Linked DNA regions of Tamandua tetradactyla. The protein of the gene in region 2 binds, or shares a complex with, the protein of the main gene of each other region. Links are inferred from orthologs where the notes say so. Each region holds a gene or a part of one and is shown on either strand. Other genes may lie near its edges. The genes, in order: UPF1 and UPF2.

Region 1 (16,280 bases), on a different chromosome or scaffold from region 2:
AGGGAGGGCCTGAGGGAGGCCCCAGCCCACGAGAGAAGCCCCCCTCAGACTCAGCTCATGGGCATCTAAGGTCCTGACAACCCACACTGGCTGCATGGCCTCGAGAACTCATCGAGAAGTGGGGTGACTGCACCTTACACTGGAGGGTCACAGGGCCCTCTGATCACATAGCCAGCATGGGCCCCTGTCCCTGCCCACCACAAGCAGGGCCTGTGAGCCACGCACCCACAGGGGCAGCCTTGGCAGGTGTGAGCAGGTGCAGCAAGCCCACCCCTTCTCTGACCAGCAGGCCAGGGCCCCGTGGTCGGCCATCCTGGCCCAGCCCCCATATGCCGTGTCCAGTAATGGCCATGAGGGCCCCCCACAGAGGCCCAGGTGCTTGACTCTCCCCACAGCCCAGAGGGCTGTGCCCATGCCCCCTAGCCCCGCGTGAAGGATACTGTCAGGGACCTTGATGACGTGGCCTATGCCCTTCCAGAGGGGCGCCAGGTCCCCCTTGTAACGCAGGCAGATTTCGTCACCCTGCATGAGCCGCATGTCTGGGGAGAGACAGCGAGAGGGTCAGCGCGCCAGGAGCCCTTGCCACCTCAAGGAGGGTGAGGCGCGAGGCGCTGGGCGGGCCACGGAGGCTAGGCTACTAGTCACAAGTATGTTAAAACTTAGAATCACCTCTTAACCAAATTATGACTAAGTCCTCATTACCAGAGTCAGTCTTGGGCAAGGTGAAGTAGGCGATTCTCTTCTTGTTGAGCCCCAGGTCCCACCTGACCGTGATGTTGTCCTGAGTCTGAGAACAGGAGAGAGACGGGCGTCAGGTGCAGACAGAGACCCTGGCTGCAGGGCCGGCGCGGGAGAGGCATGTGGAGCTAGGGCAGGGAGGGGAGCTGGCTGCAGAGGGCAGGGCCAGGCTCTCGCCACTTTCAGGGGCACATCTGCAACCTGGCCCTCGGGCTACTGCAGTCAGCTCCTGGGACTGCCGGCCAGCACCAGGGGTTCTTGCCAGGGGGGCTTTGTTGCATTTTAACCAGTAAACGGCCTGATGTTTCTCCCTGAGGCTCGCCAGTGAACTGGGCATGTCCACACAGGGTCCAGCTGAGAAGGCAGTACGGCGCCTCTGCGAAGGGGAAGCCTCCCTGGCTGAGGGTGCTTGGTGCCCGCGCAGCCCACTCCACGGGCCCCACCTGGGACTCCTTGAGCTTCTTGTCATAATCTGCCTCCAGCTTGACGAGAGGCCCAAAGATGTTCTGGTACTGGTAGGCGTCCTCGTAGCGCAGCAGCACGTGCTGGGGCTCCTCATCCACCCCTGGTTTCTCCAGGTCCTCCAGGGTTGCAGAGGGGTTCTCCTGGAAGACAGGACCCCACACGCTCTCCTTCCCCACTGGATGGTGAGTAAGCCAGTGCCCAGCAGCCACGAAGACAGTGTGCACTCAAACCAGACGAAAGGACCCCATGGCTTCCAGGAAGGAGCCGACCCAGGGCTTAGAAAAGGGGGGTAAAGCAGCATCCCCCCCCCGCCTGCTCCTCAAGGGAACAATGAAATAAGCTTGGCAGCCTGGAAGTGAACGGGAAAGGGACCCTGCTACACAACACTCCCACTTGTACTCAAGATGAAAATACATTCGCATCGGCTACTTCTTATCATGCCAGTGCCTAATTAAAATTCCTAGTCTGGTCATTAAAACTTTTGGCAAAAGGCTCAGCAGTGAGCCTTAGGGCTGGGGGGCGGCTCCTGAGTGGGGTGGGAGGAGGCGGGCCCCCAGGGATGCTCCGATGGGCACCCAGCGCCTCGCCCTGCGTGGAACAAAGCCCTTGCAACCCAGGTGGGGCCCCACCGGGCCACTCCACAGGTTGCTGTCCCCTGAAGCGCGTGGAGCAAGCCGGCCGATCGTCCCCTTGGGGATGCGAGAGGAGCAGTCCTGAGGGGGGTACCCCACATGCAGCTGCCCGGTCCTCCCCTGCCCCACCCACGGGCCGCACCTTCCAGAGCTCCTCCAGCTTGTTGATCTGCTGTGCCGTGATCTGCCGGGCACGCAGCTGCTCCTGCTCCGAGGGGATCTTCACCAGCCAGGACAGGAAGCAGCGGTCCTGGATGAGGGGCTGCCACTGGGAGCTGTCCCAGTTGATGTCCTTCAGGCTGCTCTGGCTGGCACAGGGCTGCCTGCGGATGCAGGACACACTCACCACCCCGCCGGCCCCAACTACCCAGGACTCCTGCGTCACCTGGTCACGTGCTTCCCACGCTGTCGGAGGCACTCACTGCCCACTCAGTGGTGAGAAGCAGAGCTCACGTCCCTGCACACTTGCACTCTGAACCCTCAAAATGCACAATGCGCTTTATACTGACAGAACTGCTTCCACCACTTAACCGGACGCACCCCGGGGAGCTGACTGCATTCCCTACTCCGGCAAGCCCAGGCCCCGGACACCCCTTCCCGGGCACGGCCGAGCCCCCGTGCCCCAGCCCCCTGCTGTCAGGACCAAGCCCCCGACCGGGTCAGGGCCCCCACCTGCACAGCAGCACCACCACCGAGTCGGCCTTGGCCGGGATGAAGCCTAGCAGGAAGACATTGCGGCAGCCGCAGTTGTAGCACTCTAGCACCGTCTCCCCCAGCGGCCCGTCCTTGTGCAGGGTCACCTCTTTGCATTTTGCCCTCACGAGGTGATTTACAATGTGGCTGAAACCAGGAAACAACCCAGAGTTAACACCAAACCCTGGCCTCTCACTGCTTCCAGCGCTCTGGCGCGTTCCGGTGCGGGCGGTCACGGCCCATTAGCAGAGGCGGTCACACCTCCTCCACCTGGCGCCCCAGAGACCGGCGGCTCCCCCAACGCCCCCAGCACGCACAAGCCCCATCCTGGCTTGAACGTGGTCCAGCAGCTCCTGCTTTCCTAAGGCCTCCGAGGAGGATGCCACAAGAGGCCTCTCGCCCTATGCCCTGAAGGCCTCACGGCCGCTCCTCTCCACACAGCACCCGTGCCTGCTTCCAGGTGCAGCAGCCCCTGCAGGTGGGCGGAGGCCCCACCTCCCGGAGGTCACCAACCCTCTTGGGGCTGGAGGAACTGGTGGGTAGGGCGGGAGGCCCCCAGGAGGGCAGCCTCTGCTGTGCCCCCAATTCCACAACCCAATTCTGTAAACCACAGCCCCCTGGGCCCCCCAACTCCAGCCCGCCCTCAGGGACCCAGGAGCTCGTCTGAGGCACTGTGGCTGACAGCACAGTTGCCACTGGCACCCCAGGTCCCAGCTCTGGACACAGCCACCCCAGGCCTCTGCCCGCTGGGGGGGGGCTCCCCTCCCCACAGCCCTGGACCTTCCACCACAATCACCTGTTTTCTCCTGGCCTGCTTTTCCTTGCCCACCTCACCCCCTAAGTCCCCTGAGAGCTAACAGCTTGCACAAAACATGAGTGTTTGTTGACTCCAGCTTGTTTTTCTGAGAGGCCCTTTGCTTGATTCCTTGTTCTTGGCTGAGCTGACCGGAAACGGAGGTGGCCGGCTATGTGCACTTTTGTTTAATTGCTTTTCCTGCTGGAAAGGAATGAGCACACAGAGCTGCAGTGCCCCAGCCCATCCTGAAAACGGGATGCACGTGTGCTCCAGGCTGCCCGGAAAGTGCCTGTCCTCTCTACCAGCCCAGCGCATGGTACCAGCAGATGTCGGCACTCTCCTCCCAAGCCGGGCAGAGAGGCTGCCCACGTGGCCAGTAGAGGTGAGCTGGTGGTATGACCTACCACTCTGCCACTTTAAGTCTCCAGAGATGGGAGTCTTGGGGCAGCGCTGGGCATTCCGGTCAGCCTGGGTGGGAAGGCCCAGCCAGGCAGCAGCTGTGCCCCCAGAAGCTGTGCAATAGCCAAGTGGTCCGTCTCACCCGAAGTCCTGCGGCCGATGCTGATCGACAGCAAGAAGAGGTGCAAGGGCCACACGCTGGGGCTCCGCCGCGTGGGCTCTGCCCACAGCCTCCCCGGGCCACCTCCCCGGGCCCCGAGGTCCCTCTGGCCGGGGCGGGCCAGCAGTTCACCTCACGCAAGAACATAGTGAAAATCTGGGCCAAGAATGAAGCCAACCCCACGCGCATGTGAGAAGAGTCACAGAGGACAGACCAGGCAGGAGGCGAAGGTGTTCCCAGGCCACCACGTGGCTCCCGCGGCACCTCTTGCCCACTGCCCGCACTCCCCGCAGGCCACCTGCCCGGGCCTCTACCTGCCGGAGGTGTTCCCGCGGCCGTTGCAGAACCACTTCTTGCTGGCGTTGCAGTAGACCACGCAGGCGGGGTCGTGGATCCCGCAGTAGCTGGAAAGCAAGACACCACCGTTCAGCCTGGAAGGCTGCGCTCCCAAGTGCGTGAGGCAGTATGTGAGACTCTTTCATGGCGTTTTTAAGTCTTGCGTTAAACACATACTCAAACCCAACAGTGCTAATAACAGATCCTCATAAAACAGAAGACAAGGCAGAAGCGAGGTGTGCTGGGAGCCACCAGGAGACCCCGGGCTGCGCAGGCCACTACCCCGGGCTTGCAGTCTCGGAGGCACATCCTCCCCATGGGAGCAACACGTGCAGGGCCGAGGGGACTGTGTTCCAGGACGGGCGCGGACCCCGCGTGGGGACCTCTCCAGCCACCCAGAGGGCCACCACACACACACAGCAAGCGGCCTGCCAGGACAGGGGCATCTGTGCACTCATCAATTAACGTGAGCAAAGCGCAACTCCAGGAAAAGGAAAAGCCCTCCCTGAGCAGCGCGCTGCCACCTCTCTCGACCTCGGTTTCCTCCCATGTGTGCCGGAAACAAGGACAGCCCGGGCGGGCCTCCTCAAAGACCCGGGGCTCACCTGCACGCGTGCACGGGGAGGTCCTTCGTGTAGTACGTGTCTTCTTCGTCCTCCTCAAAGTTCAGCTCGGCCAGCAGCTGGCTGGTCTTGGCCACGCCATCGTCCACGGCCCCATTCTGCAGCACGCCCTCGGGCCCGCCGACCTGCATAGAGCGGCACGTCACCTGTGAAGCCCCGGCCGACCCACAGGGGCGCCTCTCACCTCCTCGACCCCCCCACCTAGGCCTTGTCCTTGCCGGCCGCAGAGCCATGGCCATGTCCAGGTGCAGCAGGGGACACTTTGCCACGCCTAGGGGAGAGTCTCACCAGTTGCACAGGGACAGCGACGCCCCATCACGCAGGCGTCACCCTCAGCGAGTCCCTCTTGGACCCTCTCCAGGCATCACTTCCCGCACTCCCTCCATGGGCCCCTCCCACCCAACCCCTCACGGGGCCCAGCCAGACAAGGGGGCAGGCAAGAGCCCCTCAGGCCTGGGACCCCTGCCGAGGCACTGCTTCCCCCTAGTGCCCTCAGAGGGATACCCCCACCGGCCCAAACCACTGTCAGCTCGGCCTTGGACGCACAGGCCACCTGCCGAGACCCAGCACCCACCCGGCCCCACCCCGCATCCTGGGCCTTGGCCTCGACTGCAGTTCTAGTAATGGAGTGACCCGGCGAACGGCAAGGAACCAGGCCACGCGGCGGCGTGTGAACTTCGCATTGCTGTCCCTCGATTCCCAAACCCTTCCCCACGACCCCCAGGTCCTCCAGATGCCTGCTCCAGTCCTTCCCTCCATACTGGGGTGGGGTGAGCCCCTGCGCCCACGGTTCCGCCTGTGCCAGCCCAGGAGGGAAAGGCCCCAGGCGTGCACCCCTCCACTGCTCTCAGTGCTTCCTTCCCTGAGTTGCCACCAGTGAAGGGCAGAGAGAAGCCTGCACCCAGTGCCTGGCCAGCCCCGGACCCTGCGGGCTCATCAGCAAGGCACAGAGACAAGGGTCCGTGCCACCCTCTCCCACCTACCCAGCCTCCCTGCCCCACTCCTGCCTCTGTCCCGCTCGCTCTCTCCCCCACGCTCTCACCCTCTGCCCACCACTTCTGGGCACAATGCAAAACTGACAGCTGTAGCCAGGTTGTTCGCTTCCCCTCCAATCACTGAAAGAGTCGAGACACATAGTATTGCAACAAGATGTGACCTTGGAAGGGATAATGAAATGTGTTAAAACCCAGCCCTGAGCCAGGACGCCAGGGCCCCGGGTCCCTGTGGGCAGCACCCCGCTCTGGCCCGGACTCCCGGACCCTGCACTGCCTGCACCTGGGGTCCCGAGTCCGCCAAGGCCGTGGGTCTCTGTCCCCACCTCCGCTCAACCCGCAGTACAAGGGCATGTCCCTACTCAGCACCTTTCAGGCGGCCATGAGGTGGGGTGCCTGGCACCCTGCTTGGGGACTGGAATCGCATGCTGTGAGCGCAGACGCTGCAGATGGGGGTCTGTGAAGCCAGCCTGGTGCTCACATGTGGAGCCGGCCCGACTAGCGCCTGCCGCGGCCTGGCCTCTGTGGCCTTCAAGTCTCGCTCCACGGCCCTCCCCGGCAACTCCCCAACCTGAAGACATCCCCATCCCTTGGCCTTGCAGTCACCATCCCTTCCCCAGGGCCCCGCTCGAGGGTTCCCCTCCCTGCCACGACCCGGGCACTGAGGGCAGGCCGGCACCAGGGAGCCCCAGGGCCACAGCCCAGACACCGAGAGGGAGGGACCATCCTTAGGCCTCGATGCCAAGGTTTTCTTAGAGAGGAACGGGCAGCCCCTTTCTGTGGGGGTGCTGCAGGGGGCCTCACCAGGGAACGCACCCCCCCACGGCCCTGCGCCCATGCACCGCAGATGACGCCCCAGCCTCCTCCGGAGAAAGCCCAGCCGTGTGTGACTGTGCGACGCTGGTGGAGGCCACCAGCCAAGGTGCCATGGCAGGGGCTGCTCTCCACACAGTCCCGCTCCCCGGTGTCCCGGCCTGGGTCTGCTCAGACCTTGGGGCCCACAGGCTGCCGGCCAGTGAGCCATACTTGGCGCGGGCCCTCTCCATCATCCTTGCTGGGACCGGCTGCTGCCTTGGCGCCAGGGACCCGACCCCAGAAGGGGTTGCCACTGCCCAGGCGCCGCTGCCCAGCAAACAGAGAGGCTGGGCCATGGGAAAGGGGTGCCCATGTCCACCCGCCGCAGCAGGGCGACGCACGAGACGCCCTTCTTCTCTCCAGGCGCTCGTAGTCAACCCAAGGCCAAAGCTTGCGGCCTGCTGTGGGTCCAAGGATCCTGGGCGGGTGCAGGTGGAAGAAGACAGGAGAGGGGACAGGATAGCAGGCTGGGCTTCGGGCTGGCTCTGGGGGTCACGTGCTGGGGGCAGGTTCCACCCCCAGGCCGGGGCACTGCATGCACCAGGAGCTCCCCGTCATGGGCTGTGGAAAAGGGGCACCCACACGGCCCAGGGGTAAAACAGGTGTCAATTTCTGTGCCCACGCAGGCAGTCCAGGCCCCAAAACCCAGCTCAGGCCCTGCTGCTCTCATCTACACAGAGAAGCCCGTGCCGGCCACAGGCCCCCAGGACCCAGCACCCCGCTCATCAGGGGGGAACGGGCTCTACTCTCAAAACCACCTGGAAGTGAACCACTAAGGGACAGGCCGACCCTGGGGTTCCCCTACCCTACTCTTTCCTGCCTGCCTGGACTGTCCACACTGCCATGACAGTCAGACATCCTCTGCTCCCCAAAAGCCTGCAGAGGGGGTCCCGCCGGCCCCTCATTCCCAATGGCTGCTGCCCCCGCCCAGCCTGAGCCCAGGGATAAGGCCGTTGATACGAGCTCCTCTTCCAGCCCCGGTCCCCTTCACAGGGGCCTCTCGGATGCCATCACTGCAGGTCTGTGGCCCCCCTTGGCCCCAGGACACAGGGCCAGAGACAGCAGCAGGGCCTGACCTGGGTCTCAGAGCCTGGGCTGGAACCCTGCTCCCGCATGTGACCCCCAGGGCCAGCACTGTACCTGCAGATGCAGTCCTGGACCGGCCAGGCCCTGGCAGTACCCTGAAGGCCCATCCTCGCCTAGAACCGCCCTATAAACAAAGCGTCCCTGCAGAGAGCCATTCCATCCTTTGGGCCCCCTGCTTGCTGCCCCCACCCTCTCAGCACACCCCAGCAGGTGAGGCAGTTCATGCCATTCTCTGGTAAAGCAGCTGCCCTGGCAGCACCCTCCAGGCCCGCAGGGCTGGGGAGAGGGAGTTGCAGAGAAGGGGGCCGAGGCTGGACAGGAGCCATAGCCCTTGCCCATTTCTGGAGTGACAGGCCACCACCGAGCAGGGGTCCAGCGGGGTCACAGGGCCAACTCTGCTGGCTGCACCACACATCGGGTGTGAGGTGGACTGAGCCCGAGTTTCCACATCACTTGGTTGACCAAGTGAGAGAGAAAAGATGAGCAGGAGCAGAAACAGAGGGGAGAAAGGAAAGAACAGAAAGCATGAGCAAAACCCCAGTGCGGCCCTGTCAGCTGCTAAGACTTGCTGAATTATACACTTCGAATCAAGAAATGGTATGTAGTCACACCTCCAGAAAACTGCTAGAGACGGGGGACACAACTCTGACCGAGTGAGCGCCCCAAAGACAGGAGGGCAGGACAATTACCCAGATCAGGACCAACTCAGAAAAATAACAACTAAGACACCTAGAGAGCCAGAGTCTGCCCCAGATAGGGGTTGTGGGCGGAGGGGCTCCAGGACCTGAGCCCCCCGTGGTGGTGGTCAGAGGCAGGAGCCCCACTTGGGAGAGTAGCTATGCATAGAGGCTCCTCAACCACCGCTGTCCCCTGGGGGCTGGGGGTTCAGGACAAGCAGGTGCCCAGAAAAGAGTCTTCCCGCTTCTGCCCGGACCCAGGCCCACGCTTTCACACTAGACGCGCAAGGGCCTGACGAGTGCCAGGCTCACTCTGTAAACAAGAACTCTGAGCCGGCACGGGCCCAGCCGGGTCCCCCATTTGCCCTCCCATCCCAGCAGCTCTCACCCCACCTTCAAGGTTTTACATGAAAATCACCTGGGCACAAACTGGACACAGTCAAGATTGACTTCAAAAGTGGCTGTACGTTGGAAAAGTCTGGAAGTTCCTCAAACACTTGCAGGGTTACTGTGTGATCCAGCAATTCTACTTCTACGAATACACCGAGAAGTGAACACGGGCACGCACGCGGAGAAGGGCACAACTGTTCACAGCAACACCACATGCCCAGCAACCGATGGACATGATGGATGATCCCTTAGCCATAAAAAAGGGTCGAGTCTGGACCCACCTACAACACGAGTGGACCCTGAAAGCACAATGGGGCTGAAAGCAGCCAGATGCCGACGGCCACACGGTATATGATTCCACACACAGGAAAACAAGAGTCTCCTCCTGACTCCAAAGGGTACCAAAGCGGACAGGGGCAGCCGGGGGCTGGGACAGAGTTTCTCTGGGATGATAAAAATGCTCTGGAACTAGACAGAGTGGCTGATGCTGTGAATGCCCGGAACACCACTGAGTCATTCACTTTAACTCTTGTTTTCACATGGGCAGCACCGGGAAACGAACCCAACTCTACCGCACCGCAAGCGAGAACCCTGCCTGCTGAGCCACCGTGGCCCTATCCACTTTAAATGGGTGAACTGCATGGCATGCGACGCAGACCTCAGTAAATTCGCCAAAACCCAGGAACTGAGCAGGCCCACTCATCTAAGAAGCAGAGTGGGAGGCATTTTGAGTCTTTCTGGAAGCCTCCACCAAACAACTGGTTCTGAGCACAAACAAGGAAAATCTCCCCAAACATTTTCAGCAACCAATGCCACCAACTGGCCTGAGACAGTCAACTTTCTCTCACATCCCAAATACGATCCCAGCTTCTCCTGTCCCAAATCAGGACCTCCTTCACAACACAAACGGGCCACATCCCTCCCCCAGACACAAAGGGAAAGTTAGACACCAGGAAGGTGGGGACACCCTGGGAGGAAAATACAAAGCCTAAGGTGATCCTCGTTAACTAAATGCAGCGAGGAACAAAACCTCTAGATGTCAACAGATCTGAGACCTTCGCTGCAGGTGGCCTCCCAGGGGGCATCTGAACGCCCCGATTTTGTACAGGCCTTCAGGTGCACAAACACCTTGATTACCTTGACTGAAAGAGAAGGACACGCCCAGCAATTAATCACAAACAGAACTGCAAGGAGCACACCTAGAGCTGGATGCTTCCCAGCTTCGCCGCACCGCGGCCCCGGAGCACACCCACAGAAAAAGGACGCCCTGGCCCGTCCCGAGCTATCTCACTGACTCTCCCGGGCCGAGAGTTCTCACGGGCTCGAAGTGACAAATGGAACTGCTGTCCCCACTTTACAGCCGTCAACACTGGGACTGGCGAGGGCTCTGGGGTATGAAAACGAACCTGAGACGTCCCCAGCACCCAGGTCCACCCCTATCCTTCCAGGCACACGCCCCGCGGCACCCCTGTCCCCCCGAGCCTGGATGGAAACAAAAGGGAGCACACCTGTCCCTGTGAAGCCCCGCCCCTGAGGCCTTCCATTTTAAGGAATCAGGGGTTAAAAGCAACAAGCGTGTTCCGCTTCCTTTCAGGGCTCAAAGAAAACCCAAGTGGGTGGTCTACCCACGAGTGTGACTCACCGGCCTGAACATGAACCGGCCCCCGGGGCTGGGACGCCACCGCCCTCCCCCCCGCCAAGCATGGAGGGCCCTCCCAGGACCAGGTGGGCCTGGGGCTCCCCGGGGTCGGCGGCCCTCTCCCAGCCCCGCTGCCGCCCACCGGGCAGTGAGTCCTGCTCCCCTCGCAACCAGGTCCCAACTTTGGAACACCCAGTCGGCTGTGCTCACGGTCCACGCGGAGCGAGTCGGCGCATGGGAATAAAGGCCACCACCAGCGGCCCCAGCGAGAACCAAACTCGGACCCAACTTTCCCCAGCAAGGAGCGGTTACGTAACAGGTCGGTTTCAGCAACAGGCAGCACTGCGGGCAAACAACCCGACCAGGCGCGCTCTCACCGCGGCCAGCGTGGCCGCCCCAGCGAGCCCAGGGCGCGCTCGCAGCCCCCGGGCCAGGAAAGGGGTGACTCGGTGGGTGTCCGTGAGGGTACCGCGGCCAGGGCTACAGGTGGGGGGTGGGGCCAGGCAGGGATCCCACCCAGGCGGGGCCCAAGGCAAGTCGCCCCGACACCCACTGGACAGGGCCTGAAGGCAGGGGAGGGCACCCCAGGGGGACCACCCCGACCGGACCAGCGCAGACCACGACGCAGGCCACCCACGTTCCGGCCAGGCTGCCCCGGGAACAGGAGGCCCAGAGGCCAGTTGCCCCGGGTCCGGTCGGGGGCTGCCCCAGGGGCAGGGCCCCCAATTCGGTCCCTCCGGGGGCCGGTCGCCCCAACCCGGCCAGGGAGCCCCCGGGACACGTCGCCGAGCCGGCCGGGGGCCGGGGCCGCTTCCGGCCGCCGCCATGTGCCTCACCTGCGCGTCGAGCTGTCCGGCCGCCGCGCCCGCTCCGCCCGCGCCGCCAGGGCCACCGGGACCGCCGGGGGGCGTCTGCGTCTGGCTGGGGAGGGTGAAGTCGGTGAACTCGAACTCGGAGCCCTGCGTGTCGGCGCCGAGCAGCTCGGCCTCCTCCGTGTCCAGAAAGGTGAGCGTCTGCGAGCTGGGTCCGTACGCCTCCACGCTCATGGCGCCGCCGCGCCCCACCGGGCCGCCTCCTGCCGCACTCGAGTCCGCCGCCGCGCCGAGGCCTAGGCCGCAGGCCGCGCTCCGCCGCCGCCGCCGCCGCGCGCCCCGCGCCGCCCCGAACCGTCCGCCGCCCGCGAGCCCGGCCGAGAGCGCACGCGCACCGACCCCGCGAGCCCCGCGCCGCCCGCGCCCCCCGAGCCGCCCGCGCCCCCCGAGCCGCCGAGCTCGCAGCTGCCCCGGCCGGGAACTGCCGCCGCCGCCGCCGCCGTGCGCGTGCGTGAGATCGACGCCGCCGCCGTGTGCGTGCGCAAGGCCGCCGCTGCCGTGCGCGTGCGCGAGATAGACGCAGGCGCGCGGCAACGCGCCGACGCCTCCAACCGCGCCCGGGCGCGGAGCGCCGAGCGGGAAGACGGGAAGCGCAGTGCGCACGCGCGCGGGAACCGGGCTTTCAACCGCTTTCGCGGCGGCCGCCGGCGGGCGTGGTCACGCCCCCAACCACGGCGGGGTCTCGCCCCGCGGGCGGGGCCTCAGGGAGGCGGGGGTGCGGGCGGGGCGCGGGCCGGGCAACGTCCGTGGGGTTTGGGCGCCCGGCCAGGGAGTCCCCGCGGGGATGGCGCACCCCCGTCCTTCCTGGGACATGCTCCCTGCGCCTCCGTTTCCCCACGTGTGAAACCGGGAACGTACGCCCCAGGCCTCAGTTTACCCGCGTATGAAACAGGAAACATGTTCCCCAAGCCTTTCTGTGAAACCGGGGTAGCCTCGGTTTCCCCATCTGTGAACTGGGGAATATGTTCCCTACCCCTCAGTTTCCCCACCTTCGAAATGGGGATGACCTCAGTTTCCTCTGTGAAATGCAAGTAGCCTCAGTTTCCCCATCTGTGAAATGGGGAACATGTTCCCCAGGCCTCAGTTTCGCCACCTGTGAAGCAGGGGTGGCCTTGGTTTCCCTGTCTGTGAAATGCGGGTGGCCTCAGAGTCCCCATCTGTGAAATGGGGAACATGCTCCCGGTGCCTCAGTTTTACCTCCTGCAAAGCAGGGGTGACCTCAGTTTCTCCGCCTGTGGACCGGGGCTGAGGACGGCCCCATGTACTGCAGGGTGGGGGTACCCACGTCATGGAGTGTGAGGGTGGAGGACACGGGCTCAGGCCCCTAAAGTGTGGCCACTGCTGCCCCCCACACATCGCCCCCAACCGGCCTGTGTGACCTGCATGCGTGGCTCACCCTCTCTGAGCCCGGGGCCCAGAGGGGAATAATGACCATGAGGGCGCAGCGAGGGTTAAACCAGCAACTCTTCCTGCCAGAAGAGTTCTAGGGGGCAGGGTCGACCTGACTGGGAGGAATGCCGGTGCCCCAAAATGCCCAGGAGGTTTCAGAATCTTGAATCCTGGGTCAGCTCAGGGGTACGGGACTGAATTTTCAGCTTCCTCGCCTGTCCGGTGACCCCAAGCCGGCCACTTGCCTTTCTGCCAGAGCCTGGGAGCATGGGCAGGCAGCTGGCGGGGGCCGGCCTCCCGCAGCGCCTCCGCTTCCCAGTTTCCCGCTTAGGGCAGCAGGAGCCACTGGAATTGGGGCCTCTCTCCCCCACCGACTCGCCTCTGTTTCGGAGCCCTCGCAGGGACGGGGTTAGCGAGTGCCATCCCCCTGGACAGGAAGACGTAGTTTAGGAGGGAAATGACAACAAACCACCAGGTAGCCCCAATAAACTGCAAAGGGCCCATGTAAGCACCCGGTCCCCTCAGCAGGGGCACAGAACAGGGGCCCTGGCAACCCCCCACCCCAGCGGTTTGTCTGAACATTTACAAAATTCATTGAGTCGAATTTCACTTTTGAAAGTGAAACTGAAAGCAGCTCTACCAACGGCCGATGAACACAAGGCCAAGCAGCCAGCGCCACCAGCCGTCGGGGCCACGCGGATCCGCTGCGCACCGCCGCACGGGCGCCAGCTGCAAGTGACAAAAGCAAGAGGGTAGGGACAGTGGCCAGCACTGGCTGCTGGGCCGCGGGGCGCTGCTGGGATTGGCAAATGCCACAGGCCCCATGGCAAGCACCTGGGCTGTTTCCAGAAAGTTAACAACAGAGTGAAACGCCTGCCGCTCGGGGCTTGGAGGCAGCCCAGATGTCTGCTGCGGGTGAGTGCATAAGCAAAGCGTGCCCTGGCTAGAGGGCGGAATATTGTTTCGTCATAAAAAGAAATAACGAGGGAGGCCGCACGCTACGATGTGGAAAAACCTTGAACACATTACACCAAGTGAAGGAAACCAGACGCATAGCATGCTGCATGATGCGTTTATGTAAGATGTCCAGAACAGACAAATCTGCAGGGACAGAGGCAGCTCTGGGAGTGCCCGAGCCTGGGGGGACGGCCCACGGACAGGGGGAACCTTTTGGGGATGATGGAGCCAGGTTAGTGGTGATGGTTGCATGACGTTGGGAATAAACCAAAAACAAAACAAAACAAAAAAAAGACTTGAATTGTACACTTTGACATGGGAAACGTCACAGAGTGTACATTTTACCTCCATAAAAAAATTGCAAAAGCCTTCGGCGTTGTGGGAGTTGGCACCATGTCCTCGGATTCCAGGCCACGCTTCCTCCTGTCACTGGCCCCTTGCATGTGACTGGCCTCGGCCGCTTGCTTCCGATAGGCAGCACGTGGAGGAAGGGTGCATGTGTGACGTGGAGACCTAACAGCTTCCCCTACGTGCTGCAGAGTCACCCACTCAGGGGGACATCTGCTGCCGCGTCGGGGGCCCCGAGCAACCCCGTGCCAAGGACCCCGGGGAGGAGCCTTGTCGGAAATGGATCCTCCGGCCTCAAGTGAACTCCAGGCAGTTCCAGCACTATCCAAAACCCTGAGCCTCTCGCCAGACCCACCCAACCAAGCCTTCCAGGGTTCCTGACCCAAAGAAGCCACGAGATAATAGACACCTCCAGCCACTGTAGGCTACCATGTGTGGGGACTGTTTGTTACTCAGCACGGCTAGCTGATACGTACCCACACCGCAAACAACCAAAACGTCTGTTGCTGCTGGCGGACACTTGTCCCCTCCCAGACCCAGTCATCAAACTGCAGGGCAGGTAACCTGGTGGCCTAGGAGAATTCCTGGCTGGGGAGCCCTGGGAGGGAGCCCTGCCCCAGCCCAGGGGCTGACCCAGCTGACCCCCTGCCCCTTCCAGGGCACCGTAGTTCTCTGTGCCCTGGAAGCTGAGGCTCTGTGCCCCACCCCCTTTCTTCCCACCCCAGGCGACCAGTGAGGCCACGGCAGTGGCTGACGGGGCCCTTGGGGCTGACCCAGTGCTGTTTGCGCCAAGCCTGGGCAAAGGATGCCTCCACGCCTCTCAGGCTGCCTGGGACCCGCGCCACCCGGGACCCCCGCCACCTGGGACCCGCACCACCCGGGACCTTCTGCCTCCTGGGGCCCGTGCCACTCCGAATCCCAGCGTCTGTTTTTCTGTCCCTTTCTTTCGTTAGTTGTGTTTCTGGTGCACACAGCTGAGGCGCCTGCACCCCAGACCTAGAGATTGCCCCAGGGTCTCCCACTAGCAGCAGGGCCTGGTGGGGTGCTTTGTGCCTGGTGTGGGGCACACGCCCCCCTCCCCGCAGGTGGACCCTGGACTAGAGGCCTGTGTCCCTCCTGTGGGCCAGGACTGTGTGGCCCCTCTTGGGCCGCTTGAGCCCACCCTGCCGGGAGCAGTGCCCATCCTTGTACCCTGCCTCGTGGCTGGCTCTGTGATACGCTTGGACAGAAGGATGTGAGCCCCTCAGCGAGGGTTTTACTTGGGGAGGGGTAGCGGGGGGGGAGGGGCTGCTTTGGGTCCACGGTTTCTTTTGGGCGGGGGGCCAAAGGTGTTCTAAAACCAACGACAGTCACTCTGTGGATAGATTGAAGCCACTGAACTGTGCCCTTTCAGGGTGAACTGTGTAGCATGTGACTCACACGTCCCTGAGCTGTTAGGGAGGGAGAGGGAGGGGAGTGAGGAAGATGGCACGTCTTTCCTGGATGCAGGACGCACCCTAAGTGTCCGGCCCGGGGGACTGATGGACGTCCTGCAGGAAGCCACACTGCGGGGCCGTGGACTGCTGGCCGGGCCCCTGCCACAGCTTTTCATGCACAGCGCCCCGACCACCCTGGGATGGGCTCCCGCTACTCCCGCATTGGAGGTGGGGAAACTGAGGCACGGAAAGCTGATGGTGGCTGCCCACGGCCACACAGGAGAGGCTGGGCGGGGACCTGCTCTATAACTTCCAGGGCTGGGGGGAGACAGACAGACCCCCTGTCCAGGAACAACTTGACGCTGGGGACAGAGCATGGGGCCGTGCCTGGGGGCCGCAGGCTGGGGCAGGTGGGGGCAGGGGGCACATCCTGTCTGGCCCTGGGCCCCCCAGCCCCTGCTGCTCTCTGGGAAGTACCATCTTAGCCCACCCTGGTGCTCTCCGTGCCCTCCCCAGCCAGGCCTGGCAGCGCCTAGGGTATGTGGAGCTCAGTTGGCCCCCCAGCTGCTGCCCAGGCCTCAGGATAGGCAGGGCCACCGCGCTCTCCCCAGCGCACGGCTGAGCAACCTGGGCACACTGGGCACTGCCTGCAGATATTTCTGTCGCACACCTGGGGGCGGCCCCCAGCCCGGGGCGCCAGAGAAAACACTGGGCGCCCGTGGAATGTGAATTCCAGAAAGCACATGGAAACCTCAGCTTCCCCACTGCACTGCGGAGCCACCGCCGAACAACTCACCCATTTAAAGCAAGGAGCCCCT
Region 2 (15,598 bases):
AACTATATTATAAAATCGTGTCTTTTTTATTCTATACTTTAGGTAAAAAGGGCTATCTATATTATCATGTGTGTGGTACTCAGCTGTATAAGGTGGGGAAGATGTCCTATAATGAGAGGAATTATTATGTAGAAGGATAAACTTTTGGAAATCTGACAGTCCTGAGATGAAATCTTTTTTAGTAGTTGTGTGATCCTGAGCATGTTGTTTTAACTACACTAAGTCCTAGTTTCCCCATCTGTAAAAACAGGGAAAAATAGTTTCTACCAAATAGAATCATTGGGTGAACTGATGTCTGACACACATTAATGTATCAGTTTCTGTTTATTACTCTCAGTATTAAAAACTTGAATTAGCTATAATGGAGATCAAATGAAGGGACATGGAATTGTGGAAATAGATGAGAACACCCATATAAGAACTAAGGTTATTTCTTCAGAGCATGTCATAGCAAAGGAGTCAGTTCCTATCAGCAGTGTTTGGCAGAGACTCAAAGCAGGCAAGGGTGTGGGAAAACTTTATAGTGCAAAGAAGGGAAGACTCCAGGTGTGCTCTGATTGGAGGCTGCTGCTGCAAAGGGGAGCTGGAAGTGGGACATCCTATGTGATTGGTCAAGGGAGCATATTTTGCTTTTTTTCGGTTGGTCCTAAGTTGGAAATAGGGGCAAAAACTGGGGAAACTGTCAGTTATCAATCAAGTCCTGGCTATTTTGGGTCAATTGTTATAGGGATTGTGGCTTGACTTCCTGGGATGTTTGTTGTAGACAGTGGTTGGCTTCCTGGACTACTTTTTTGCAGGTAATGTGCCAGTCTCTTCTGGTCTGGTTACTGCTAACAGAGTTTCCTGGCCATTGTCCATTTGTATACACAGTTTCTTAATCTCTTTTGGTCATTTTCTCCCTTGCAAGAGGCTGATTAATTCAGGGAAAGCAGGAGATCCAGATCTTCATGGCTCAGAGGTTGTTCAGTTGCCTTCATAGTTAACAGCACAGCAAGATCTTGACCTTTGGTTGTTGTATCATCATGATAATCATGTGACGAAAAAGCAGCTCTGTAGAAGCATTTAATACTCTAGATAGAATGCAAAGGACCAGGATCATGATCACTATGACAAAAACAAGAACAATTTGTAGTCCCCGTAAGATGCTTTGGAATCAGGGGCCCCAACAAGAACAAAGCCCATGAACCCTGATGATCAACCTTAGAGAGCCAAATAGCTTTTTCCTTAAGGTGGTGTATAGCCTGTTCCACTTTGCATGTTTCATTAATCCAAGTACAACAAGAAGTATTAGCAAAGACACAGATGCCACCATTACTAGCCAACAAGGAATCTAGAGCAATGTTATTGTCCATCAATATTCTTGCCAAGGAATAGTCTCAAGGAGCTGAGTCAATTGAGCTCAGTCAATCAGCTTAATCAACAGATACAAAATGAATTATTTCACTATCAGATGATTAATGTTATAATAGAGGTGTTCAGAGGCTGGGGGTAGGGACCTAAATCCCTATATATGAGTTGATGGTGATAAAGAATGGCTTCCCATGGAAATAATGCTTGAGCTAACTAGTCTGGAAGTCTCATGGGAGGGAAGGCATTCTAGCAGAACTATGTCATACAACGAGGTGAGAGGAAGTTCAGTACATCCAGATTATTTGTTTTGACTAGAATTTAGACACATGAGGAAGTAGTAGGAGGTGAGGTTAGATATTATGGCAAGAGTCATATTATAAAGGGCTCCTGCTAAGGACTGTAAGTGAGTGACTTCCAGATGGGTTGGCACATTCAGGGGTGTGCCAAGATGATGTATTTAGGCAAAAATAGTAGAAGTTCTGTTTAGATCTATTCTTATCTTATCCTTTCAATTTGGGAGTGTGTATTATGATGTGTGTAATGTATTTGTGTAGTTGTACAGATATTTTATTTTATATCTAAATAAATATATTTATTCTGCATGATTGAAGTTGGAGAGCACCTTTGCCATTGAAGGTTTTTTCTTGCAGGGGAGTAGAATGATGAGGTGTCTTTCTGAAACAACACTCTATTGGAAGTAGGCGCAAGGTTAGAAGCAATTAGGGAGAAGAATTGGAATAATAAGGTGGGCTTCAGATGGTGCATTTGGAGGTGATAGAGTTGTGGAGGAAGATAAAGTCAGGATCTTTTAAAGAGTTTTTTGAAGATCTGGTTGCTTGCACTTAAATAAGGAATAGTGAATGAGGATTGTGGCACCATTAATGTGAAGAATATTATATTCTTTAATAGTAGATGGGGTAGAGGAACAATCTTAACTTTAGTTGTGAACATTTTAGGCTTGAAGCATATGTGGAATATTTTATCACAAATGTCCCGTGACAGAGACTACAAATATTAGTCAGAAATTCAAGAATTCAGACTAATTAAATCACATAGGGTTAACTTTCTCATCACTTATCCACTAGTTTCACAAAGTATACTGAGACTGGTTGTTCTGCTGGACAAACTGAAGAGAATTATAAATTAGAATTGATAATTATATTTAAAAATCTCTGTCATTATTGGTTACAGTACCTGAGAAAATTCTTCTTTCCCCTTCTGTGGTAGTTAGATTCAGGTGTCAACTTGGCCAGGTGAAGGTGCCTAGTTCTACTGCTGCGGACATGAGCCAATGGCATGTGAACCTCATCTGTTGCTGTATCTGCAGTCGGCTAGGAGGTGTGCCTGTTGCTATGAATGATGTTTGATTTAATTGACTGGTGCTTAAATGAGAGCGCTCAACATAGCACAGCCCAAGCAGCTCAGCATACCTCATCTCAGCACTCACAGCTCAGCCCAGGCCTTTGGAGATACAGAAAGGAATCACCCCGGGGAAAGTTGTTGGAACCCAGAGGCCTGGAGAGAAGGCCAGCAGATATCGCCCTGTGCCTTCCCACGTAAGAAAGAACCTCAGATGAAAGTTAGCTGCCTTTCCACTGAAGAATTACACATTAACTAAATAAATTTCCTTTTACTGAAAGTCAATCCCTCTCTGTTGTGTTGCATTCTGGCAGCTAACAGACTAGAACACCTTTTAACCCCTTTCTTTCCTTTCTTAAATGTTTTATTTTGAAATAGAACAAATTTATAGGAGTTACAAAAATAACACAAATCCCATACAGAGAATGCCAACACACCCTACAGGCACCCCCCAAAATATAGATCCACCTATTTTACCACATTTACCATTTTCTTTCTTTCTGAACACCTGAGTGTAGGTTCACACATCATAATCCTGGATGCTTTCCTCTTTCTACATTTTCTTTGATCTCATTCATTTTTAGGGCTTTAAATATCATCTATGTTGATGCCTATAAAATTTTTATCTCTAGCCCACAATTCTAAATTCCAACTGCTCATCTGTCACATCCAATGAGGTCCTTCTAATTCTTCAGGTTTTAGGCTCAAATTTTGCATCATTAATTTTGCATTTTTCCTGACACTCTAAAGTTTCCACCTTCCCCTCTCCTCTCCATTACACTACTTGTTTATTTCCTTTCTAGCATTTATCCTACCGTTTCCCTTTTTTGTTCTTTTTACTGTCTATCTCTCTCATTAGGTCACAATCTCATTGAATGGCTTTTCATTATTTACCATGCACTTTTCTAAGCAACTTTGTAAATCTTATGATCTTTTTCTATTTTTTCAACAAACCTTTGTTTCAAAGCTTTTAAACACATTGTTTCACTTCTATTTTGGTCAAATTAATAGGCACTAGCATAGTAAAGTGGTTTTCTTTATATATATATATTTTTTTTTTAATTGGGAAATCTTCACACATACATTCCAGACATGGTGTACTATCAATGGCTCACAATATCATCACAGAGTTGTGTATTCATCACCACGATTATTTTAAGAACACTTGCATTATTCCAGAAAAAGAAATAAAAAGAAAACTCATATCATACACCTTAGCCCCCAACTGACCATTAGCATTTCCATCCACCCAATTTATTTTACCTTTTGCCCCTCATATTATTCATTTATTCTTTTATCCATATATTTGTTTATTCATCTGTCCATACCCTGGATAAAAGGAGCATCAGACACAAGGTTTTCACAATCAGTCACACTGAAAACATTACATCTTTATACAATCATCTTCAAGAATCAAGGCTACTGGAACACAGCTCAATAGTTTCAGGTACTTCCTTCTATCCACTCCAATACACCATAAACTAAAAAAGGATATCCATATAATGCATAAGAATAACCTCAAAGATAACCTCTCAACTCTGCTTGAAATCTCTCAGCCACTGAAACTTTTTGACTCATTTCTCTTTTCCCAGTAAAGTGGTTTCCAATCTTTCAGTTTTGTGACAAATTTCAATATGGTTCAGTAATAAGTGACTTCTTATTTAGAAATTCACATTTCTTTTTTAATGGACATGTCTCAAGAGGTTATTTTACAAACTGTTAAGGAGAAAGTGGGAGGAGGGAGGGAGGCGAGAGGATGAGAGAGATTGAGAGAGAGAGAGCGCATGGAAAATTTTTTGCTGGAGAGATAACATGAAGAGGTAAGCACTTATAGGAACAAGAAGCATAAAGTAGCTCAAATTAAACTAAACAAAGAGCTGATTTTTTCAAGCAAATGCTCAGTACAGCTCTACATCATATTATATTCTTTTGATGTCAGTGGATGCAAGCTATGATTACAGCAGGTGTGACTAACCCAGTGCTTCTATTTTTTTTTTTTAACTCAGGGTTTGCCCTGCCCAGTAATTGTAATCTCTGCCTCCTGTTTTTGTTGTCTTCTGTGATGCAACAACTCTTTGGTTAGACTTGCAGTAGAAAGTAGTAGAATGTAAGTCTATGTAAGTAAATAGAGTGTTTTAAATTTTCTCAGTTCTGTCAGTTTCTGCCAATTGGAGCAGGCACAAGGGAAAAGAATAGACTTTTTGGAGAATGTTCTCGAATAATGAAATATCTACAAACACTTAAATGCTTAATTCAATGTATTTTCAGAAAATAGTGAAGTTTGAATTATTATCAGATTGCAAAGCTGGCTTCTTCACAGTAGTGTGCTTCTTCCGGTTATGACTCATAACCAGTGATATCCCCATAGGAGGCTTTTGGTGGCTAGCATCTTTCTTTAGAAATAAAGTAATTGGCAGCATTTTCAGTCCATGTATAAGCTTGCATAACGGAAGTGGGATATAGTAAAGACAGCTTGGGTTTGGAGTTAGACAGACTTGAGTAGAATACTAGATATTATACCTACTAGTTTTACAATTTTGTGTAAATTACTTCATCTTTTTGTGACTCAATGTCCTTATCTATAAAATGGGGAACATAATTCCTACGTACAGGATTGTGATTTTTAATTAAATTAACAAACATAAAATAGCAAATGCTCAGTAAAAATGCCCTCCTCTTCTCTCTTTGATTTCTGTACTCCCATGATTTCCTTTCAATGACATGAATGCTGGCAGTCAGTGTGATTGAGGATGGGATGAGGAGGATTTAGACTTCATAAAGTACTCAGACATAAGGACAAAAAGGTAACTTTGAAGAGAAGTGTGGGTTACTGTTCCAAAGATGGTGTTTTGGAAGAGTCCTCTCATAACTGTGTATCAGTGGTTCAGAACAGCTGTATTACTGTCTGTCTCCTTCTTTACTACCTTTTAAATTACTCATCTATTGACGGTATTAAAAAAATTAAGTACAGGAATCTTCAACACTCAATTTGGGAGGGTAATTTACATGATAACTATAAATGGAAAGAAAACAGTAGAGGCAAATGGGTAAAGACTGAATAAAAGGGAAACTAGACGTGCCTCAAGGGTTTGAGGCTGGGAGCAGCTTCTATTACAGGCTTGGATGTCGGGTGGGGTGTCGCACGTAAACCAAGAGTTTTAGGTTAGTTCTGCACCTTTGTTTCTCTTGATCCTCACCAGCCAAAGCCAACCGGTATGAACACCCGGTAAGATCACTCAGATCACGTTGGTACAGCCTTTCTGCCACTTTTTCGGTATAAATCGGAGGTTAAAATGCCCAATTTCAGATGCTCTGTGGATAACTATTATAAAAAACTGACTTGGGTTCGCATTCGAACAAGTCACGAAACTTGCCAATTTCCTTGTTTTTTTCTTTTTTTTTTTAAAGGGAGATTTCATCCAACAACTAAGAGAGTTCATTCCATTGTAATTTTTTTACTTCCTTGCTGGAACCGGGCATTTTCTATGAACCATATGGGAAAATCCTTGGTTCTCCGCTTTGAGATCTTTTCAAATCGAACACCTAAAACCGCTTCTGGAACTCTCCCCACAGGAATTTCGTAATTACTAGGCGACTCCTAAAGCTTGACCCATTCTTAACCAATTTCTGCTCTCCTCACGAGCCACATTCTTTATCCTCTCCAGCTTCCAACTTCCTAAGTCTTCAACCTCTACTCTTGAATTAGTCCAATCAAACTTTCCTTTCTTAGACCTCTTCCTCACGTTCGCACCGGGAAACTCCCAGGAGAGTCACGTGATCACCTTGTCCTCAAAGGCGCTCCGTAATTCTTCTACTGTTCCCCGCCCCTCCGCTCCGCCCCCTCACCCAGGTGTCTGCGCCTGCGCATCTCCAGATCAGGCGCTTTCCCTTTCCTGGCGACCAATCCACTTCCTGCCTTCGGTCCTCGGAGCGCTCCGCCCCCCTACCGGGGTCCTGGATTGAGGCACTGGTAGTAGCTGCCCTATCCATTGCCTTATGAAAAAATTCGCTCGTAACGTCGAGTAGGCGTTTCGACTCATCCGCTAAGTAGTTGACAACAGCCTGAGCTGTGACTCTGGAACTTCCATTCAAAGGTAGCTCCACGGCACCGGCATGTCTGGGCAGCGGGCGGCCCGGCCGGCCTGCGTAACGGCAATGGCGCGGACAGCCTCTTCCTCCCCGCTCCCCCGCCCTGCCCCCACTCGCAGCCAGGCCGCGCTGGTGAGTGGCGGGCGGAAGGCCGGCGTGCGGAGGGAGGAGGGGTGCAGAGGGAAGGCGGGTCCTCGGCTGCGAGCTGGTGGGGGGAGGGGAGGGGAGCCCGAGCGCTGGAGTTGGTGCTGGGAAACCCGGGGCTGATGTTGACAACAGGCTCGAGGTGAGTCCCGGGGAACCCCTCCGTCTTCGCTCCAACGATCGGGCGGGAGCGGGCCGGGGGCAGAGGCCTGGACCCTCACTCCCGGGGGACCCGAGCGGCAGCTCTTATCCCAGCTCTCCGGGGGCGGGAGAAGTCAAGAGACCGTGGCTCCCGCGTCGTCCTCAGCCGCTCTCCGGGGGGTCCCCGTCTCTTACTGGGGCGGGCATGGGGGGCGGCAGAGGAGGTCCTGTCCTGCATGTCCTGGCCGGGCCTCCCGACCCGAGGCTGGGAGCTCGCCGTGTTGGGGTGAAGGTGTTTGGGGGCGTGGAGTAGAGGAGGGGAGGTTGGGGGAAGGTCTTTGGGCGCTGGGAGGGAAGCGAGGGCGACGAAGTGGGAAGAGTGCGTGTGTGGGAGGATATTGAGTAGGGAGACCAGCCCGACAGTCTTGGGTGGTGAGGGAGTGTGGGGTGAGAAGTTAGGGTTGGGGCGAGGGTGGCCCGCGAAGGTGACCGTGGGTACCCGTAGGAAAGGGAGTTGTGGCGGGGAAGCGTGTGAGGTTTAGGAATGTGGAGCAAGAGCAGGGCTTTGTGGGAGGTGTGTGTGTAGAAGGGGCTCTGGTGAATTTGGGAGGGTAGACACGGGTTTTGGGGTTTACTTTAATCACATAGACTGGTTGCTGCTCCACTTCGCCTCTATCCCAAGCCTCCGAGAACTCTCCTTAGTACTGCTGAGCCAAGGAGATGATCACAGGATATTTGGTCTCCAAGTTGGCAAAGTAGAGCCTCCGTACAGGCGTGGGGATACAGGCTGGGCTGGCCGGACCTTCAGCCCTCTTGCCCTTATAGAATTTATACATAGTAATTCAAGTAAAACTATCTTTCATCTCTCATTTATCATAGTTTTTAGGGGTTCATAAATGAACTGCTCAAAAAAATTTTTTGAGCTCCGGTGAAATTTGTAAAAACGTTGAGAGTCCTTTATTCTCAGGATGTTCTTTAAAGAAGAAAGTCAAGGACTGGGAGATAATACCTTGTGTAGTTCTGTCTTTAGAACAGTTTGAATAACATGGAATTAAAAGGTAAAACAGCATTCTCTTACTCTGAATTACTTTCAGAGCAGTCTAATTGTGATTTCATACGTAAGCCATATGGTACCTTGCAAAGATCTTTAACAGGGAAGGATCTTTCTTCCCTTTGGTGCTCTCTCTAGCATACCCCCATTGGTACCTATTTTACTAGTAGTATTTTACTTTCTCTTGGAAATTCAGAGTATGTTTAGAAAACCGAATGAAATCTACAGCCCAAGTGCTCTACCAGGAGACTGGGGAGTTAAGAAGGTGTGATTTAAAAATAAGGTTTCCTTATCAGAGCTGCCTTGAATATGATTGTACTCAGTAAAATACTTTGTAAGAGCTAATCATATTCCAGTTAAAAGATCACTAATTTTTACCTTGATTATTTTGAGATAGAATCTCTTTAAAACTACTTTTTACTTGATAAACTTGAAAAAAATACTTTAAAGTTCTTGGCTGTTTATTAAAGCACAAACTTATTAAAATAAGAAATTTTATCATTATATAAATATAATTTAATGCTCAGTTTAATTTTTTAAATTGACATAATACAAATGCATGCTGATCTGGATCATGCTGTTTGTATATTTTATTTAGTTTTTAAAATATAGTCAGGGTATACAGTGGAAAAGAGTATTCGTTAGTGAATTTTGGCCCAGCTGCTAAGCCAGCTGTGTAATATTAGGTAGGTCACTCTGCTGCTGCTACCTCAATGAGAAAATCAGAATAGGAGTAGATAAAATTGAATAGTCCGTTTAAATCTACCCATCTCTCATCTTATGATTAACTTCTCAGTGTGTTGTATGAAACAGAATCAGCATTTGAGTGCCCCCTTAATGCTAGCTACTATGATCGCAGTTTTTTATATAAGCCAAGAGCTGTCTTAAGACAGAGCAATTTCTCCGTTTTATCCTTGAAGGAATAGACCTGGAGAATTTAAGTTGCCTGTTTTCCATAGTTAAAGGGTAGCTGAGTTGGGATGCAAACCTAAAGTCTGCCTGATTTCAGAGCCATGTTCTTTTTATATGTATGCTACCTCTGTATGACTTTTAGATTTTTCTTATTTTTTGGTCGCTGAAATTTAGCGCATAATATACATTGGGTGTATGTTTGTGATATAAGGATGAAGGGATTCAAAGAAGATACCAGTATCAAAACTTACGTTCCTTATTAAGAATCTTTGTTTTATCGTGCTCTAGAGCAGGATCTATATACAGTTCGTTTTATGTAATAGGTGCTTAAATAAAAACATGTTGAATGAAGGAATACTGTAGAGAGTCACGAAAGTTTAGCAGACTCTATTGAGCTGATAAATGATGAGCCTATATGAATTTGTCAGATTCTAAGCTAGTTTCTTAATGGTTTTTAAAAAAAATTTGGTTAAGATTTTTTTTATCTTCATAAAATGTTCATTGTAAATTCTGATCCTATCTGTTGTCTGAAAATCATAGTTCCTTATAACCTGAAATGTTATTCAATGCTTCATGTCAGAAAATGCAAATTCTGTATAAACATGAATATATTTTATTTTTTTTCACAAATGTCTAAGACCCCTAAATAAAATTTTTCGTTCGGTATTGTCTTGTCCCCTTTTCAGCCAAATTTGGCAAAAGTTACAAACATAATGTAAAAACTGCTTAGCCATTATCAGGGGACTCTTTCTACTCTGAGATAATTCTATTGTTTGTCCTAGTCACGATCTATAAGCAATTCTTTCAACTCACAGTTTGCTACTCTCAGGGCTCTTGATAGCTTTTGTTAAGAATGTGGGTTCAGATTCCACCTCTGTCACTAGCTGAGGAGACCTTGATCAGGTTACTTGGTGAAGTCTCAGTTTACGCATTTGTACAGTGGGGAAGATAATACCCATCTCATGAAGGTTTTAGTATTAAATAAGTTAATGTATGTAAAATGTTTAGTACTAGTAGCAGTGAGTGGTGGCTCTTAGTGTTATCTTATTTGTTTGAAAGTTTTCTTACTTTTAGAGCATGAGATATTTTCATATGAAAGGTGGGTATTTAATTGAAGATGTATAAGAATCGATTATTACATTTCCAGATAATATATTATAAATGTTAATCTTGTCTTGGCACATAAATAAATAGTTAAATGTTTTCATGTTTTTAAAATGATTTTTTAAACAGGATAACAGCCTTTTTGTTGTTGTTCTGAGTTCCACCAATGGGGTTTACTAAAGCCTTTGGGTGTCATTGTCAAAATGAATGCATAGACCATGGAAATGGAGGAGAATAAGAGAGTTAAAGAGGAAAAGGGGAAGGACGAGGTGGCTGTGAGAAGGTACAGAGTGTGGCATGTGCCTCCAAAAATTACTTAAAGTGCTTCTACTGGCCTAGGTTGTCTTTCTGTGATAATAACATTTTATAAGAGTGCTGAAGCTGAAGTAATTTATTTGTGTGTTTATAAAATATTTATTGTTGCAGATGTTTTGTTTGCTAACCTAGTTTTTGTTTTGTAATTTAAAATCATCTAGGAATACCATGCAGATCTTTAGCTTTTAATAAAAAACTAGAAAGTTTCAGTAATCCTATACTTCTTAAATAGGATTTTCTTATATACAATGTTTTGATGATTTAGGAGTTATAACAGGGAGCACTGTCCATAAAAGAAATTATATATATAAAACAAACTAGTTTGTTCTGAGTTTAGAGAAATGTGTTTTTGGAAAAGAAAAATCCTGAATTTGCAGGGAAATACGGTTTTCTGTTCCAGTTAACTGTATGAAGCCTATAGTACAGATCAGTACTATCCAGTAGGACCAGCTGTCGTGGTGGTGATGTACTATGACTTCACCACCTGATATAGTAGCCACTCGCTGCATGTGGTGTTGAGCATTTGAAATACGGATCATGACTGAAAAACTGAATTTCAAATTTAATTTTATTTAATTTATGTTTAAATAGCCACAAGTAGCTAGTACACTGGTTTTCAGTTGGTGATTTTGACCCCTGGGGAACATTTAGCCCAAAACTTCAGTAGTGCTGAGGTTGTTTCTACTGTATTGGCAGGTGCAGAGTGGAATATATACATTTGATAACCATAATTATGATTTGTTTTTGGTAAATTACTTTTGTCTAATCTTTAATAAGATTTAAAAAATCTAGTCTTAACTGAGATAGTTAACAGTTTGTACATTTGCAAGTTTGATAATAAGATTAGAACAATGAGGTGAAATTTATGAGTACTCTGTTCTCTATTTTGGCCAGTGATTTGTAGGAGGCAAGAGCTCGTTTTTGCTCTCCTTCTCTAACTTAAATACTTCTTTTGAATATCACATGAAATAGTGAACCAGTGGGATTTAGACTGGTTTAGACTGTTCTCAGATATATACTGAAGTATTTATGATTAAATTATAGATTATTTTGGAGTTTGGTGATGGTTGAACCTGGGTGATGGTATATGGAGGTTCTTTGTGTGTGCTCTACTTTTGAATGTGTTTGAGTTTCCATAATTAAAAAGTAAAAAATGCACTTAAATATAAGCATAACTAATAATGATAGAATATGGAATGTGACCAATATATTGTTTTATCACAGAAATAGTATTCATTTTGCATGCATTTATTTAATCTCTCACCATTGCCAGGATGGATTTATGTATACTATTTAAAAAATAATGTCCCTCACTAAAAAAAAGTCACTATATCTGTAATTCTGACACCGTTTTATTCTTACAGATTGTCCTGGGTAACATAATGCCAGCTGAGCGTAAAAAGCCAGCAAGTATGGAAGAAAAAGAATCTTTACTAAACAACAAGGAAAAAGACTGCGGTGAAAGACGGCCAGTGAGCATCAGGGAGAAACCAAAAGATGATATCAAGCTTACTGCCAAGAAGGAGGTTATTAAGGTCCCTGAAGATAAAAAGAAGAAATTGGAAGAAGATAAAAGAAAAAAAGAAGACAAAGAACGCAAGAAAAAAGAAGAAGAAAAGGTGAAGGCAGAGGAAGAATTAAAGAAAAAAGAGGAAGAAGAAAAAAAGAAGCATGAAGAGGAAGAGAGAAAGAAGCTAGAAGAGCAGGCAAAACGACAGCAAGAGGAAGAAGCTGCTCAGTTGAAGTAAGAAAACTTATTTTAATTATTGATGTGAAGTAATGGAAATTTATAATATTTTTTGAGAAAACAAGTTTATTTGAAGTAAATTTTCCTGGGTATATTCCTGGGTATTTGTTAGTTTTAGAGCTTTTATTTAAATTCAATAATTGTAATAATCTTTTATTATGTTTTGAGGTCTGGGGTAATCTGGATTGTTTTTATTGAAACAAAAAAGAAGCTTTTTCATGGTATAATTAGCCATCTTTTTAAGTTGAAAATCTTTAGTTCTTAATAGTTGAATTCTTATTATGTGCCAGATATCGTATTAAGAATATCAGCATTTATCCTTAAAGCAGTAAATTTTATGATCTTCATTTTACAGATTAATAAAATGAAGCTTAAAGCAGTTAAGTAATGAGGTCACAATAAATAATATAGCTGTTAGAATTTGAGCCTGAGTTGGTTAGGTTCTAAAACCTTTGTGCTTAAGCATAATTCCATGTATTCCATTCTTAGCTTTGTTTAAATGTACTTTCAACTTTGTAAATTTGTGCAGTATAATTTAATAAACTAGTAAAAATGAGGTACTCCTCATAGGAAGAACACCAGGATAGAGCAAAAATGACTATTGTTGAATAGCATGAACTCTTTCTCTTCATAGCTATAATTTTAAAAGCTGTTTGCAAACTTCAAATTCCAGAGCTCTCTGGAACCTACTTCCTTACACAAAGTTCTTCTTTAGTACCTTTATTTTTAGTGAGGAACTGATGCCTTATGTCTGGAAGGCAGTAGGGCTAGTTTGGAAATATTCAGAAACATGATTTCTGAGAGTTTCTTATTTTATGTTTTAATTTTTTGTTTTTATTTCTCAGGAGTATTCAGTTTCACAGTAGTTTTTGCTTCCTTTCCCCTCTCATAGAAAAGAGCTTTTTTTTAAACTAACCTTTCATTGGGAAAATTTCACACATATGCGGAAACAGAGAATGGTATAATGCGCGCCACCCCCCCCCCCCCCCCCCATTCATCACCTAATCTCAACAACAGCTTTTTCCCCTGGAGTACTTTCTTTTTTTTTTGTATGCTGTATGGTGGAGGTTGCATTTCATTCTTTTTCATATTACTATTCTGTTATTGTAGCACCATTTGTTGATTTTTCGTGGTGGGTGGGCAGGGGCAGTGTATGGGCCAGGAATCCAACCTGGGTATCCCGCATGGAAGGCTAGATTTCTACCACTGAACTACCCTTGTATCCCTATCCCTTGGAGTACTTTTAAGCATTGTATTATTTCACCTGTAAATATTTCATTATGTATTTTAGATATCTTTAAAGCAGGTGAAAGTTGAGTTATTTAATGCATTTATATAATAAGAGTTATAATTTCTTAAAATGTACTCTGTTGATCCAGTATTTGTGTGTGAACGGTAGACTTGCAACTCAGATGTCTACATTCCCAGTGACAAACGTTCCTTCTCCCATAACTTTTTTTTTTCACATGGGCAGGCACTGGGAATCGAACCCGGGTCCTCTGGCATCATAGGCAAGCATTCTTGCCACTGTGCCACCGTGGCCCGCCCCTCCCATAATGTTTTAAAGCTTTTAGTGGGAAAAGTCATAAAACTCAGGGTAACTCAGGGATGATTATTATAGAAAGGTGAAAAATTAACTTTTCTATTTAAAATTAAAAATTTAAATTAAAAAAATTAATTAAAAATTAATTTAAAAAAATTTTAAATTATAATTTTAAATTATATATAATTTTTTTCTCAGGCACTTTAGTCAGATTGTCCATTTACTACTTCTGCAATTGATACTTGTTCTGTCTTTTTAGTGGTAACATATGCAGATTTATTTCTAACTATCCTTTTCAGGATAAACTGAAGACTTTTATGTGATAGTTTTCTTCTGGTTCCTTTCCGCATTTCCTAAGTCACACTTGAATTTTAAGACCCCAAACCTAGCAAGGTACTTTATTAAAGGTTTGGTTAATGCTGAGTATGGAAAAATGATACCTTATATTTTGCAACATTTTAGTGCATTCTTTCATAAGGCTTATTCCTTCATTACAGTACTGCTTTGCAGACAGTTTTTTTGTTTGTTTGCCAGTGCTTTTATCTGCTTTACATTTTACATCCTTCCCAGATATATTATTTTGTATTTTTAGTGTTAAGCATCATGCAGTTTATGCATTTAGGTTTTTGTCATAATTGCTCCTTAATAATTTATCTATCATTCATCCATCCATCCCATCCATCCTATCTATCCTATCTGTCAGAACCTATCCTATCTGTCTATCCTATCTGTCAGAACCATATGAGAGTAAGTTGCAGACTTGTGGTGTTTTAGCCCTAAATACTTTAGAGGGCATGTCTTAAGAAAAAGGACATTCTCTTATAACCACTGTAATCAAAATCAGGAAATTTAACAATGTCAGAATAATTTTTAGCTTTTCACAATTCTTTGCTTTACTATATATGGAATTAGCAACATACTGAATATTGAGTCATTAATAATAAAAAAATGTTTTCAGAAGTAGAATAAGGGCCTTTTGCATCTTATTTCTCTTGGATTGTAATTCTTATATGATTACTTTTTTATTGGCTTTCACTCTTCTGGGATTTGTCAATGATGCTTCACAATATACAAGGTATTTTATTATTTATTTGTTTGTTTTTAATATAGAGAAAAAGAAGAATCTCTTCAGCTACATCAGGAAGCTTGGGAACGACATCAGTTAAGGAAGGAACTTCGTAGCAAAAACCAAAATGCTCCAGACAACCGACCGGAGGAAAATTTCTTTAGCCGACTAGATTCAAGTTTGAAGAAAAATACTGCTTTTGTCAAGAAACTAAAAACTATTACAGAACAACAGAGAGACTCCTTGTCCCATGATTTTAATGGCCTAAATTTAAGCAAATACATTGCAGAAGCTGTAGCTTCTATTGTGGAAGCAAAGCTAAAAATATCTGATGTGAATTGTGCTGTGCACTTATGCTCTCTCTTTCACCAGCGCTATGCTGACTTTGCCCCATCACTTCTTCAGGTCTGGAAAAAGCATTTTGAAGCAAGGAAAGAGGAGAAAACTCCTAACATTACCAAGTTAAGAACTGATTTGCGTTTCATTGCAGAATTGACAATAGTTGGGATTTTCACTGACAAGGAAGGTCTTTCCTTAATCTATGAACAGCTAAAAAATATTATTAATGCTGATCGTGAATCCCATACTCATGTTTCTGTGGTGATTAGTTTTTGTCGACATTGTGGAGATGATATTGCTGGACTTGTACCAAGGAAAGTAAAGGGTGCTGCAGAGAAGTTTAATTTGAGTTTTCCTCCTAGTGAGATAATTAGTCCAGAGAAACAACAACCTTTCCAGAATCTTTTAAAAGAGTACTTTACGTCTTTGACCAAACAC

Evidence for each region.
Region 1: the proteins of UPF2 (region 2) and UPF1 are in contact, whole or in part, in a crystal structure (PDB 2WJV), measured with the Homo sapiens proteins. The link is inferred for Tamandua tetradactyla from reciprocal best matches to the Homo sapiens genes UPF2 and UPF1. Residues at the interface, in NP_056357.1 of Homo sapiens: Val1105, Cys1107, Glu1109, Asp1110, Phe1113, Ile1114, Ala1116, Leu1117, Met1120, Met1121, Asn1124, Leu1125, Arg1128, Met1169, Pro1170, Phe1171, Val1172, Met1173, Leu1174, Thr1175, Gln1181, Lys1184, Leu1186, Asn1187, Val1188, Pro1189, Ser1192, Gln1193, Leu1194, Asn1197; in NP_001284478.1 of Homo sapiens: Asn150, Thr151, Ser152, Gly153, Val157, Asn158, Leu160, Val161, Arg162, Lys164, Lys166, Pro175, Leu176, Gly177, Thr179, Tyr184, Cys188, Asn190, Val191, Phe192, Leu193, Phe196, Pro198, Asp202, Ser203, Val204, Val205, Val206, Leu207, Cys209.

Annotation. Positions count from the first base shown.
Region 1 is NC_135337.1:95,943,603-95,959,882, forward strand, and holds the start of UPF1 (regulator of nonsense transcripts 1), read right to left. Parts: upstream 6,431-16,280; 5' UTR 6,422-6,430; coding exon 6,204-6,421; intron 5,958-6,203; coding exon 5,885-5,957; intron 4,968-5,884; coding exon 4,825-4,967; intron 4,288-4,824; coding exon 4,198-4,287; intron 2,676-4,197; coding exon 2,508-2,675; intron 2,159-2,507; coding exon 1,978-2,158; intron 1,344-1,977; coding exon 1,182-1,343; intron 788-1,181; coding exon 670-787; intron 540-669; coding exon 441-539; intron 1-440. UniProt on the Homo sapiens protein: RNA-dependent helicase required for nonsense-mediated decay (NMD) of aberrant mRNAs containing premature stop codons and modulates the expression level of normal mRNAs.
Region 2 is NC_135333.1:50,917,827-50,933,424, forward strand, and holds the start of UPF2 (regulator of nonsense transcripts 2), read left to right. Parts: upstream 1-6,950; 5' UTR 6,951-7,084; intron 7,085-7,430; exon of another isoform or gene 7,431-8,141; intron 8,142-10,279; exon of another isoform or gene 10,280-10,433; intron 10,434-11,829; 5' UTR 11,830-11,847; coding exon 11,848-12,209; intron 12,210-14,865; coding exon 14,866-15,598. UniProt on the Homo sapiens protein: Involved in nonsense-mediated decay (NMD) of mRNAs containing premature stop codons by associating with the nuclear exon junction complex (EJC).